Linked DNA regions of Tamandua tetradactyla. The protein of the gene in region 1 interacts with the protein of each later gene in a biochemical or structural test. Links are inferred from orthologs where the notes say so. Each region holds a gene or a part of one and is shown on either strand. Other genes may lie near its edges.

The links.
Region 2: the proteins of ATF4 (region 1) and CREBZF form a complex in vitro, tested with the Homo sapiens proteins (2 studies listed by IntAct, with this or other methods). The link is inferred for Tamandua tetradactyla from reciprocal best matches to the Homo sapiens genes ATF4 and CREBZF.

What each region holds. Positions count from the first base shown.
Region 1 is NC_135333.1:32,072,217-32,078,774, reverse strand, and holds ATF4 (cyclic AMP-dependent transcription factor ATF-4), read right to left. Parts: upstream 2,612-6,558; 5' UTR 2,406-2,611; intron 1,842-2,405; 5' UTR 1,750-1,841; coding exon 1,524-1,749; intron 1,425-1,523; coding exon 601-1,424; 3' UTR 524-600; downstream 1-523. UniProt on the Homo sapiens protein: Transcription factor that binds the cAMP response element (CRE) (consensus: 5'-GTGACGT[AC][AG]-3') and displays two biological functions, as regulator of metabolic and redox processes under normal cellular conditions, and as master transcription factor during integrated stress response (ISR).
Region 2 is NC_135334.1:58,791,296-58,798,160, reverse strand, and holds the start of CREBZF (CREB/ATF bZIP transcription factor), read right to left. Parts: upstream 3,020-6,865; 5' UTR 2,722-3,019; coding exon 1,661-2,721; exon of another isoform or gene 1,454-1,660; coding exon 1,438-1,453; 3' UTR 1-1,437.

The DNA of each region.
Region 1 (6,558 bases):
AGGTGGAACGAAGGATGCTCCTCCCAGTCATCCTACAGGACTAGCAGTAGCTTACCATTCAAGGGATACCCCACCCTCGTTCCTGGAAGAACACCCAGCCAACTGCCAAAGTTCTGAGTACACACTTCTACTCATAACTGGCGGCCCAATGCAAGCCACCTGTTTATACCACCAGGCCATATCAAATCACACCAATAGGAAAACACCCCTAGTAACACAAGGTAGGTTAAAAAGCCATCTCCAGGGAAGCTTTAACAATGGATGGTGACATCACTGAATTGCCTGACTGGATAAAGTGGTAGATTTTTGGTTAAGAAAACTTTAGTATCATCCAACCCTAAACCGCTTTAACGGATGGATCTTAGTACAATCTGAAATATCTTACACAAGGTTAAACATTGCTGGGGAAAGAGTATGGTAGGTATATGGGAATTCTGCTTTCTGCATTTTTTGGCAAACCTACAATTGTTCTAATTTTGAAATGTAGTTCCAAGATTTATTCAGAGGCAAAGAAATCAGATACTTTCACTACAAAATAATTTATTACAACACATTCATAGCAAGCCTATGTACAAGCAAACACACTCTGGACTACAAAACCTAGGGGACCCTTTTCTTCCCTCTTGCCTTGCGGACCTCTTCTATCAGATCCTTCAGATACTGGATCTCCTTTGCCAAGGAATCCGCCCTCTCTTTCAGAGCCTCATTCTTCTTTTCCAGCTCTTTACACTCTCCAGTGAGGGCCTCCTGCTCTGCCCTCTTTTTCTGGCGGTACCTAGTGGCTGCTGTCTTGTTCTGCTCCATTTTTTTCAACTTCTTGTCCAATTTCTCTCCCTTTACTTTTGCTGCTACCACTTTCTCCCCAGGAGGGTCATAAGGTTTGGGGCGGGTTGAGCCACAAAGAGTACCTGGAGATGGCAGGCTCCCATTTGGAGAGCCCCTGGAGGTAGAGGGGCTATGCTTGGGAGAGGCCAGATAGGGCTCAGGGCTCATACAAATGCCACTATCGTTATCTGAGGGGGAATCCTCCTCCTTTATGCACTGAGGGATCACTGTAACATAAACAGAGTCCACTTTCCTCTCTCCTTCAGAGATGTCCACCTCACTGCCTAGTTCTAAACTAAAGGAATGATCTGGAGTGGATGACAGGGCCCCAAGAGAATGGGAAAAAGGTTGGAGGAACGTGAAGGGGGCAACATGGTTAGTTTTTGGTAAACTTTCTGAGAGATGGCCAATTGGGTTCTCTGTCTGGGAGGGCTCCTTATCCTGGACTAGGGGGTCAAAGAGATCACAGGTGTCATCCAATGTGGCCAAAAGCTCTTCGGGCATGGTTTCTAGGTCACCTAAACTGAAGAGGGCGTCAAAATCAAACTCCTTCAGATCCATTTTCTCCACCATCCAATCTGTCCCGGAGAAGGCATCCTCTGCAAAAGATGAGAGTAAGAATTGCAAGACAGCCATCCTCTATCACCAGAACCCCTGATAAGTGGACCCACACTGACAGATAAAGGACTTCTACTCACCCTTGCCGATGTCTGGGCCACTGACCAACCCATCCACAGCCAGCCACTCGGAGGAGCCCGTCTTAGCCTTGTCGCCGGAGAACCCATGCGGTTTGAAGTGCTTGGCCACCTCCAGGTAGTCATCTAAGAGACCCAGGCTTTCTTCAGCCCCCAAACCCGACTGGTCGAAGGGGGACATCAAGTGCCCCGCCAACACCTCGCTGCTCAGGAAGCTCCTCTCGGTCATGTTGCCGGGTTTTGCTGAACTCGGGGAATGTGCTTAATTCGTAGGTGTCTTTGTCGGTTACAGCAATGCTGCTGCTGAATGCCGTGAAAAGCCTGGGTAGGAATCCGAAACAAAGCACCATTGGAGACGACCTTGACTGAGAATTTCATCTTTCTATTCGTGAGGAACGGTGGCCAAATTGGAAAATCACTGAGCTGTCCTCTTAGAATGGGGGCCATGGCGTTCCAGGGTCAACCTTTCCCGCTTCCGGTGTTAGGAAACACAAAATGGAGGCCCACGGAGACTCGGCTATTCCCTCACCGGCCACCGAGAGAAGGCGCTCCAGCCGCACGTCCAAATACGGCCAGAGCGGCCGGGGCCCCGCCCCGCTCCCGCCCTGCCCGCCGCCATCTTGGCCCCCGCCACGTTTCGCGGAACACAGGGTGGGACCCTCGACGCGCTGAGGGGGCGGCAAGCCGAAGAGCGTCTGCCCTCGAACCCGTGCGCTGCTGTCGCGACTGAGGGGCGTCTCGGGGACACTAAATAGAGACCACGCGCCTCGGGCGCGCTCGTAAAACCGCTTCCCCCTCCGCGACGCTGCCCTGGCTGTAAGGCCACGTCCAAGTCCCTCCGAACCAGGGACGAGAGGAGCCCGAACAGCCGGGCCCCGTACTTACGCCATGGCTTAAGCCGCTGGGGGTTGCCGCTGCAGAGCCTGGTGCTGCTGCCGCTGCTGCAAAAGCCAATGCTGCCGCAGGCACTGCTGCCTCTAATACGCCATGGCGGCTTCGGACCCTGCGGGAGGGGAGGTGGGGAAGCCCGGGGCACTAGCTGATGTCAACATATATGGACAGAGGCGAAATGGCGGAGGCGCGCGCAGCGTGGGTCCTTTATAGACTTTACCTCGACAGTCACATCACAGAACGCATCCTTCCGCCGCCGTCACGTGACCGTCATTACCAGCCCCTCGTTTTCGCCTGTGTGACACACTTATCGGTTCCAGCCCACGGCCTTGATGTCTGAGGTATAACTAGGATGAGAAAATGAGTTATTTTAAAGACCTCACGAAATGAGAAAAAGCGCACTCCTTTACGAGGCCTCTAAGATCAAAGAGTCCACCCTTCCCCCTCCCCCGCCGCCGGTGAGCGCGGAAGGATCCGCCAACACAGTGTAAATTCGGTAGGAGGGGAGAGAAAAGCCCTTCGTAGGAAGGCCGATGTCACCTGGTTGTCGCGCGAGACGGTAGCTAGGGCGCGCGTCGAGTTGATTGGCCCAGGCATGGTGAGTCATATATATCTCCTACTTCGATTGGCTCAAGTCCTAGGTGGGCGGATTACTCGTTTAGGAGCGTCTGATATGCGCGGGAAGGGGCGGGGCGGCCAGCATGTTTCCCTCCGCTCAGCTGCGCTACCCACTTACTTTTCTCGGAATTCTGGCCAGACCGCGCAGATTTCCTGCCTTGGGCAGCTCGATCCCAGTGCGGTACGAAGTTCCTTCCTGCCGACTTCCGCGAGGCGCCGAAGCGGCAATCGGGTCCATGTCTGAGTCGAGCTTTCTGTCCCCGGATTCCCCCACCCCCTCCGCCCGTCTTGTGCTCCTTCTTCTGTACAGATTAGGCAGAGTTCAAACCTGGAACGGCCCTCGGAAGTTACCCGGCCCGGAAATTACTTCGTTTTACAAAGCGATCCCGTAGCGGGTGCCGACTCAGTCTATCAGGGACACCATTAAATAGCTAATAAAAAATTGCCCCCGAGAAGGCTTGGGAGTCAAGTGTATTAATATAGGAAAAAGTGAACGGCAAACTTATACTAAAAATGCTTTGGGGCACTAACACGAAGTTAGAGAAGTTGAGTAGAACGTGGGCATGCTGAATAATCCACCGACTTCAGTAAAAACAAGAAAACCCAGCTTTTTCTTGCTGTGCAGGTTCTCCTGGCCGGCCAGAGAGCCGCTCCTTGTGAATTCTCTTTAGGCCAACGAGGGAGGGCTTAAGACAAAACTAAGCAAAAAAGGGAAGCCACTTAATGTGTGTATTCACCCCATGAGATCTCTTAAAAGTTGAACGGGGAAACTGGATGGACACTCATTTTGGGTCCTCATCTTGGTAGGTCACCTGATCCATGCCTGCCTCTCTCAAAGGCCACCTCCAGTAAAGTCGAATAAGATGCACAATCCTATAGCCTAACTTGCACTTTTACGTTATCCATTCTGCTAAAGTAAGTTTCCTATTAAGGCATGCAGTTTTTCATAAGGGAACTTTTTTTGGATTTTATAGATTAAATTCTCCTAACAAAGGATTTTATTCGACTGGCATCTTGTAGACTCTTGAATTACTTTCAACTAATTCCCAGGCATAGCCAACTTCCCAACACATCACTAATGGCCCTGTGAAAAGCTCCAGGACCCACATACACTTACTGGTGTTTGGCGTTTCTGGAACCTGCAGTGTGAAACCTCGCTGCAGGGCCCGGGGAGGGGCAGGAGGCAGCAAAAGATTCGTTTCCTCCCCCATCTCAATGAGCCAATCAAGGATCATTGTTTTGAGGGCTGTGATGTTGAGGAACTTGGGAAGTACTGTCCTAGAGAACTACCGATCATTTGTTGACTGCATTCACTCTAGCCCAGTTCTTTCACAATGGCAAACAGGCCTAATGGGATGAGGCGTGTTGCCCAGTCAATAGTTTCCACTAGAGGCAGCATAGGATAGGGACTAGAAGACAGATTTGGGGGGCCAAACCTGAAAGAATCCTGGCCTCACCATTTATTAGCTGGGAGATTTTGGCTAAGTGACTCACTTCTTTGATCCTGCTTCCGCATCTGTAAAATGGGGCTAATGGAGGTATACTTCTAAGGATGAAATGAGATCATATATGGAAAGCACTCAGCAGTGTTTGGTACATGGTAAATGCCCAATAAAAGGTTGCTATTATTACTATTATGACTCAGATTTTCTGACCCGGACTTCCCAATCTCCCCCCCTCCCCCCCACCCATACACACACACACAAAATCTTTTACATCATCCTCCTTCCTGAGGGAACTCTGCTAATCTTTACTGGCAAATGAAGCCAGAAATTATGAAACATCAAATACACACAAGGCATACTGTATGCTGAGATAGAAGTGTGGCATTTTCCTTCCTCCTAGGGAATCACAAGTTTTGGAACATACATAAGTTGTCTAGTGTCCTGGGTACAAAATATTAAATTGTCTTGTGTTCTAGTCTTTTACAAGGTGTCCTGGGGGCCCACGGGGCATGGCCTTTTTGCTACAGCAGTGCTGACAGATGACCATGCAGATAGTTGAGAATTAAGAACAGTATTTAACACTGCCCCAGTTTTGATACTGAAGAGGTAATGGAAGAATGACTCCTGTGGCAGCTTGTCCCTTCCATTTTATTCTGGTAACCAAGATTAAATACTTCAAAGGTTCTCCAAGCTGAAAATGGAGACCCAGTACCATTCCCATAGGAAAATGTCTCATACCACGCACAAAAGTCAAAGTTGTTGGAGATTTTTATTTTCTTCTCCCCACTCTGTGGAAGGACATCATGTTCCCCAGCTTTATTTCCTCCCTCAAGGAGGAAAAAAAATAGCAATTCTCTAGGTCTCTGGGTTAAGATGCTCCTATATTGTCCTAGCCAAGACAGGACAGACTGACGACTGATTCCACATCAACTGCCACTGAAGGACAGCCATGTGACAAGGCAAGTTGTGGATTCAACCTCTGAGACCAAGAATTTAAAGATTACAAGGTGATCAAGATGAAAAGGTAGATAATAACCTGTAGGCTGTTAACCCCAAAACCCACATGTCTGGTATTTTGGTCACTTAGTCACCAGTATCTCAAAGGGCTACAGCCTCACAGCCTGGTGCAGGGTCAGCACTAACCTCAGTGCCTCTTACTCTTCTTCTTGACCTTTAACTTTAGGTAGGAAGGGCAGAACTCTAATCCTCCAAGAGCAGAAGTTCACAGCCAGGGTCAGAGACCCAAGTAATGAATAACTTAGCAGAGGGCTCCTGACACATGCAGTGATCCCTACTTACACAGTCTCTCTTGGAGAGGCCCTGATCCTGAATCTGATTCCTCGAAAAATTTTGAGCTCTTACCTTGAGTGGAATACAAAGGAGCAAAATCATCTCATTTAGACTGGCAGGGGCAAGTCCAAGACACTGTAGGCCTCTTCAGTGCAACTTTTCCAAACATGAGCTTTAACTTTTTTTTTTTTAAGTCACAACCGATCATATAAAGAAGAATACTGCTGTCTGAATTCTTATTTTAGGAAGGGGTGACAGAAAAGCAAAGCAAAAAAAAAAAAAACCAAACCTTTAGAGATTATTAGGGTTTTCAGGATAATGGGTGTATTATTTTTTAACCATTAGGCTGAGTATATGGTTTGCTAACCTAAATGGTGCAAAAAAACCCAATCTTCTCCAAACAGAGTAGGAACAGATACTATAACTTCAGGAAAAGGTGGGAGTTATGGAATAAAAAGGCAGGGTGGAGGGGAAATCCACTGCATCTGCATTCTAATTCTACAAATTAGAATGTTATCCCCTTCCATTCAAAAAATCTCAAATCACTTAATTATTTTCCACATTTTATGATAAATATGGCAGCCAAGAGAGTGGCTTGCCTAGTCAGAGGCAGCAAACTCTCTAGGACCTACGCTGAGAATTCCCACTGCTGGTTCCAATTCTGAGGACTTCTAAGAGGTTCTTACTGGTATTATGGCAAAATGATGGTTTTTGGTTTTGTGACATAGTTAAGAGATGCTCTTAGAAGTTCTTTAACAGAGGCAGTAAACTCATTTCCCCTGTGTATTTGGCTT
Region 2 (6,865 bases), on another chromosome or scaffold:
AAAATATGCTGTGATGCACTGGAAACCAGAGACCAATTTAGAGCTCAAATCTTAATATCTAGCAACAAAACATTTACAGTTGTGCAAGAACATGGATTCCATTTCCATAACCAAGTAACAACAAAATAAAACATTTTAAAGATAACTTACATCTTTGGACTGCTGGAAAATACTTTTAATTATGAACATTTCAAAAATAAAAGACAGCAGAAGCCCTGATATTACCTCTTCTCCTCATTTCTTATACTACCTTTTAAAATAAAGCAGGAAATGTGGCCAGGAGCTGGTCCCGTCTCTTCTGCCCCAACAGCTGTATCCACTTTAGCACAAAGAAAAACAAGGATGCTAAATACGTATATACTTTATAAAACAGTGATGTTTCACAAAGAATTTCTTAATGCTTCTTACACTGAAAGACACTACTATATCAATTCACACAACTGGACAACAGCTTAATAAGAGTACTTCAAAAGAATATGTCCCATTTTTGGAAAAATCATGCCATTTAAGTGGTCAGATCCATTTAATTAAAAAATTTTTAAAGCGGCCAAATGCCTTTGAAATAACGAAAATAAGATTCTTTGTGAAGCCTCACTTTACACTTTTTCATTCACATTTCACAACCTTCAATATCTAATCATACATACATAAATTTAACCTAAAATTTTAATACAGCAAAAATAAAGATGTTCAACAATTTATTCATACTCAGTGATAAGGTAATCACTATGCTGGTCCTCAAAGAAACATTTCATTAAACGTTCTTATTCTTCCTCCAATCAACTAACACAAGAATGTAATATGCAAATTAATTTTCAACTTCTCTAATGGTGAGATATTAAAATCTGCTAATCTGAGCACTCTGTATCTTAGACTGAAAACTAACTGAATAAAGAGATTTGTCATCTCTACAAAATATCACATTGTTCATGCCCCTAATACTTATTGCCAACCTCTCAAAAGTTGCTATAAATTGAAATTCCAATTTGCATCTTGTACAACTCGGAACTTCCATTCAACTTCACCTGTTTCACTGTGTCCAAACTGTATCTCTATAAGCAGGTTTCAGTGTACAGTTGGAACCGATGTCATCCAAGGCCATGTCCACACTGGGGACAGAAGAGCTAGGTACACGCAAGTCTGAACAAGGGGACACATTAGCAGCTATTTCAACCATAAGAAGCATCTTAAACACATTATTTGACCAGCACAAGTCTGTTTCCAGGGTGGACAGGGCCCAAATTCGATTTCCCCTCCCACTTTCCAAAAAAGAAAAAACAAAACAAAAAAAACACACACACACAATTGAGATGTTGCCCATTAAAGTAGACTAAGCAGCAGAGCATGAGCGTTACGTGAAGAGATGGATCCTTACCAGGTTGTGAGGCGGGAACCACTGTTCTGTAACCCCTACAACGGAGCCTGGCAGGAAGGAAATCACCTAAAAAAGAAACTGTCAGAGAGATTTAATAGTCACATGTTATCATTAGGAGTTGGTTACAGTGTCACATTCATGCTTTTAGCTAAACATTAACGATTCAATATTACTTTTTCCTCCTCTGACATGTGTCCAGTGAAGATGTCCCACTAAGGTGTTTTACATGGTGTAAGGGAGTTGAAAGGGGTAAACGTGGATAAAGAGCAGATTACTTGACCCTACATTTTAAGAGAAGACGACGCCTTCCGGGCGCACGCCGAGCAGAACTCCACCGACACCTTATCCTTGTCCACATGAAGACACACTCCTCCCGCTGAATCGTCCTCTTCCAGCAGGTCCTGCTGCTGCTTTCCCACAGGCAGAGCGTAGTCATGGTCACCGGCAGGCGAGTCTCTGAAGAGAGAGGTGGTCAGCCGCAGTCCCACGCCGCTCAGCCGGCTCAGCAAGCGAGCCAATCCGGTCTCGTTGGCTAAGACAGCACGTAGATAGCGACTCTCCTCCTGCAGTGCTTGCACGCGTTTGCCCAGCTCCCGATTCTCGGCCCGCAGCTCCTGGTTCTCGGCTGCTAGACCCCGGACCCGACTCTCCAGCCCCATTACATACTCCTTCTTCTTCAGCCGATTAAGACGGGCAGCGGCCGCCGCCGCCTTCCGAGGACTCTTTGTCGCCGCCTGGTTGTTGTCGTTGCCGCTGCCACTGCCTCCTCCCGGGGATTTTCTCCGCCTCTTTTCGCTACTGCCACTGTCAGTGCCGCTGCTGCAGCCCCCGATACCGTTTAACAGCCTCTGCAGCAGGTCTGAAAAGCGCTGCATCTCGGCAGCCGCAGCTTCGTCATCGTCGTCCCCTCTCCAAAGGCCGCCGCTATCCGAGCCGCCGCCGGACGAGGAGAGCGGACCGGGCGAGCTGAGCCCGGGTTCCAGGTGCCAGTCCGGTTGCCGGGGGTCCAGCAGATCCGCCAGTTCCAGCCCGGACAGAAAGTCCATGTCCTCCGGCTCCTCCCCCGGGACACTAGCGATAGCCTCCTCCTCCATTGCCTCAGGAGAGGGCGCGCGCACGGCCACGCCGCCGCGGCTCCCCCTCCCGGCCTCCAACTCGCCCTCGTCGCCGCGCGGCTGTTTGCGGCCGGGAGATCCGGCCGCCGCCGTCTCCTCCGCAGCCGCCGCCGCCACCGTCCGGATCACGTCTGGGGGCAGCGAACAGGCCGAGCCTGGCGCTGGACTCTCGCTGCGGGTCGGAGAGTCTCTGCCCGAGGCCGCCAGTAGCTTGGTCAGGCTATGCCTCATGGGGCCCGGCGGTGGGCCCACGTAGGCCTCGGCCCCTCAGACCGAGCCTCGCGGGCCCCACGGACCCCAGCGCGGGGAGCCGGGGCGTTGGCTGGAGGGAAGTGTAGGGGAAGGTCCAAGGGGCCTCCCGCCTCTCTTGGCTGGTCGACCCCCCGCGCAGGGCGGGGGGTAGGGATGGGAGAACGATGAGGCAAAGCCCAGCGATGACTCGGCCGCACCGCTCAGACGACGGCCTGGCCGGAAGTCCGTCGCTCTGATCTAGCCCCTCCTATCGCGTTTCGCGCTCCTGCAAGGTCTAACATCGCGAGAATTCAGAATGCTCTGGAGCGGGAGTAATTCTAGGTCTCCAATGATGTCATAGTAACAGCGGCAAAAATAACATACCTACCCCAGATTTATTTTAGTAATGGTCTACCCTCGCTGCACTTATTTCTTAGTCCTCTGTACCACAGCTTCCACTCCCAGTGAAGCCATTCTCAAAAACTGATCTTCTAGATTACCGTATGTTTTTATAATTTTAAACAGTTATTCTGTATTTCTCTGGAATTTAAAATTGATCACCAGATCCCTCCTGAGTTGCTGCTTTCCCACTTCCTTTATAAGATCGTTTCACTCAAACACTTATAGAGTAATACAGAAAATTAGGTAAATAATCATTAATATGTAACTTTTCCAAGTTTTTATTATGAAAATTACCATAGAGAAAATTTGAAAGATTAGTATAGTAACCACCCTGATTCAACAATAGTACCAAATGCCCAGATGCAACAATTCAAAAAGCTGTTAATATTGCTTTATTTAGATATGTGTAAACGTAAGTTTTTTAAATCATTCTTAAATTGCAGACGAGACACCTCACTCCTAAATACCTCAGCATGCATCTCTAAAACTGACAGGCTCCTTCATTATCATACTATTAACAACTCCTGAGAAAATTAATCATTTCCAAATATTATCTAATACCCAGACTGTAATCAAACTTCCTCAGTTGTCTTTAAATTAAATAGCTTTTATACTTTGTTTTTTTTTTTTTTTTTTACCAGAATCACTCAATGCATTTAGTTGTTGTGGAGGGTTTTGTTTGTTTGTTTGTTTGTTTGTTTGTTTGTTTTTCTCGTTTCTTAAAGTGAAACCATCCCATCCATTTTTTTTCTTTTAATATTAACTTTTCAAAAAAGACCAGTTCAGTTGTCTTGAAGTATGCTCACGTCATGGATTTGTCTGATTATTTCATCATGGGTATAAAGATCATTGCAAATAACACAAACAATGCAGACATGTATAAATAAGTAAAAAGATACAGACATGTATAAACAAATAAAAAGATATTACCCACAATCTAAGTAGCCCCCAAAATTCCTTGTTCCTCCAGCCCCACAAGAAAATTAAGATTGGAAGCTGTTTACAAATATATTAGAATACAATGAAACAAAAGAATACAACGTTTGAAAAACAAGGCCAATGAAAATACAGATGAAATAGAAATCTAGGGGCTCAGAAAGGGGAGAAAGTTAGTATTGAATTGTATGGACATAAAGTCTTACACCATTATTCAAGGTGGGCTGTAAAATAGACTAAGTTTCTTGGTGTCCATAGAAAAGATGAGAATCAAACTTCCGTTTGTTTGCTCATGATTAAAGTATATACGAATTCCCTGGGGAAAACCATATTTCTAGTTCTCAGGTTTTATAAAAACTTTTGCATGGGCTACTGAATAAGTATATTCAGTGGTATTTAACAGGCTTTGTATGGCTGTTTCTTAGAGGGCTAGAAAGCAAGTTCCAGAAAAGCAAGGTAACTGATGTGTCCAAAATATCCAGAACAGTGCTTGGCATAAGTATAGATTTCAACAAATATTTGCTGAATGAATGAAAAATGAAGGTCTCCAGTTTGTGTTGAATGCCTAACATGAAAGCTCAATTGAATGAAAACAATACTGAAAAGGGCAAAAATAAGTACGACCTACGGTAATAAAGAGACTCCATGTCCTTCTTAACCTCTTTAGGAAAGGTGTTGTTGAAGTACAACAGCACACAATTCAAGGTTATACACACTCTGGCTTGCCCTGAGTTCTTCAAGTGTTCTGTGTGACTGGTAATCCCATCTGACTGCATTTTCTCCTTCGGCAAAATTTCACTATTGAATTGATTTATTATATTTTTTTCTTAAATTACAAAATTTTGGTTTGAATATACATGGATTTGGAACCTCTCCAATTAAATTAAGAGAAAAGCAGAAAATGGAAAGGAAGGGAAATTTTTACAATGTATCCTCAGAGGAAAAAAAAAGAAATCCAAGCAAAAGAAAACCTCCCAGAAGATGACTCCTCTTCCTCTTTCTCTGTTCTTCCTTTTCTTCTTATTCCTCTCCCTGTCTTCTTCTCCACAGCTGTTATTTTTAATAAGTAAAAAGATACAGACATGTATAAACAAGTAAAAAGATATTACCCACAACCTAAGTACCCCAAAAATCACCATTATTAAAATTTTGGCGTATATTGTTTTTTAATAAGTAAAAAGATACAGACATGTATAAACAAGTAAAAAGATATTACCCACAATCTAAGTACCCCAAAAATAACCACTATTAAAATTTTGGTGTATATTGTCAAGAGCTTTTTCTTTGAATGCTACTGTTTTGGCATGAACATATTGTGGACATCTTTCACACAACCAAATGTAGATCCACATGCTTATTTTTAATTGCTGTCTAAAATTCGATTGCATGGACTTTCAAACTTTTATTCAACCTAATTCCTTATTGATAACACTAAGATTGTATTGAAGTTTATACTATTATAAGCAACACTATAATGTTGAGCAAACATCTTGTTCATTTATCTTTAAGGTAAAATCTTAGAGGTAGAATTCCTGGGTGCGATTTGCATACATAGACCCTTATTACCTAACAAAGACTTATCAGTTTATACTCTCAGCAATGGTATATGCCTGTTTTTTTGTTTCCTACCCACTCAATGATACTGAATGCATTGTTTTTAATATGTGCTAATCCAAAAATCAAAAATGGTACCTTCTGTTTGCAGTTCTTTGATTACTGAACGGTTGAATATTTTTTCTCATGACTACTCTTCTAATGTGACTAAGCTTTTTGCCTCCTTAGCCCATTTTTCTTTTAAACTGGGCAAAAGGGTTTGTCTTGTATTTTCCTCCTGGATTTATTTGAGCTCTTTGCTTTATAAGGAAAACACTCCTTTGTCGGTTATATAAGTTCCAACTACTTTTTTCCTAGTTGACCATTTCTTTGAGGGGGATGGGGGAGGCTGCTTATTTCCTTGCTTTGCTATAATTTTTAAATAGTTGGTCTATTAAATTATATTCACAGTTTTGGCTTTGGTGCTAAGCTTCTAAAGGCCCTCCTAGCCCAAAATAACTAATATTACCTGCTTTTAGCAGCTTTTAAATTACTTCTATTTATATTTTGCTAAGAATTTCTAACAACCTGAGTGGCTATTTCATTTAAACCTTTTTCCATTTGAGATCGATTCTGGTATAAATGTGTGGTAAGAATTTATCTTTTCATAAGGTTATCTGCAACAATGCAATTTATTGAACAGTCCATACATGTCTCCCTGATTCCCCAACATGTATGCTACATGTGAAGTTCTTATATCACTTGGATCTATTTCTGATCTTTTTCACTGATCAATCTAACCATCCTGGAACGAAAACCACTCCATTTTTATTGCAGTTTATAATAAACTTTAATATTTCATGGGGCAAGTCTCTCCTTGGTAGTTTTATTTTCTGAGAATCTTCTTGCTATACTTGAATATTTAGATAACTTCTAGATAACATTAGAAAATTTTCCCAGTTCAAAAAATCCTGGAATTTTTGTGGAAATTGCATTAAACATATTAATATATTTTTACCAGGTATTTTACACAAATTTTTACTGCTGGGATATATTATTTCTTCATTTGTATTTTCTAAGTGGTTATTGTTGCTATACAAGAAAACTATTGATCTTTTTGTTAAATGTTTAGGTGACTATCTCACTGAATTTTCTTAATAGATTTTTTTTTCAGTTTATTCATTCATATTTTCCTAGTAGACAATCATATCACTGATTGTTTCAGTTTCCTGGCTGCCAAAGCAAATACATGCAATGGGTGGCTTAAACAATG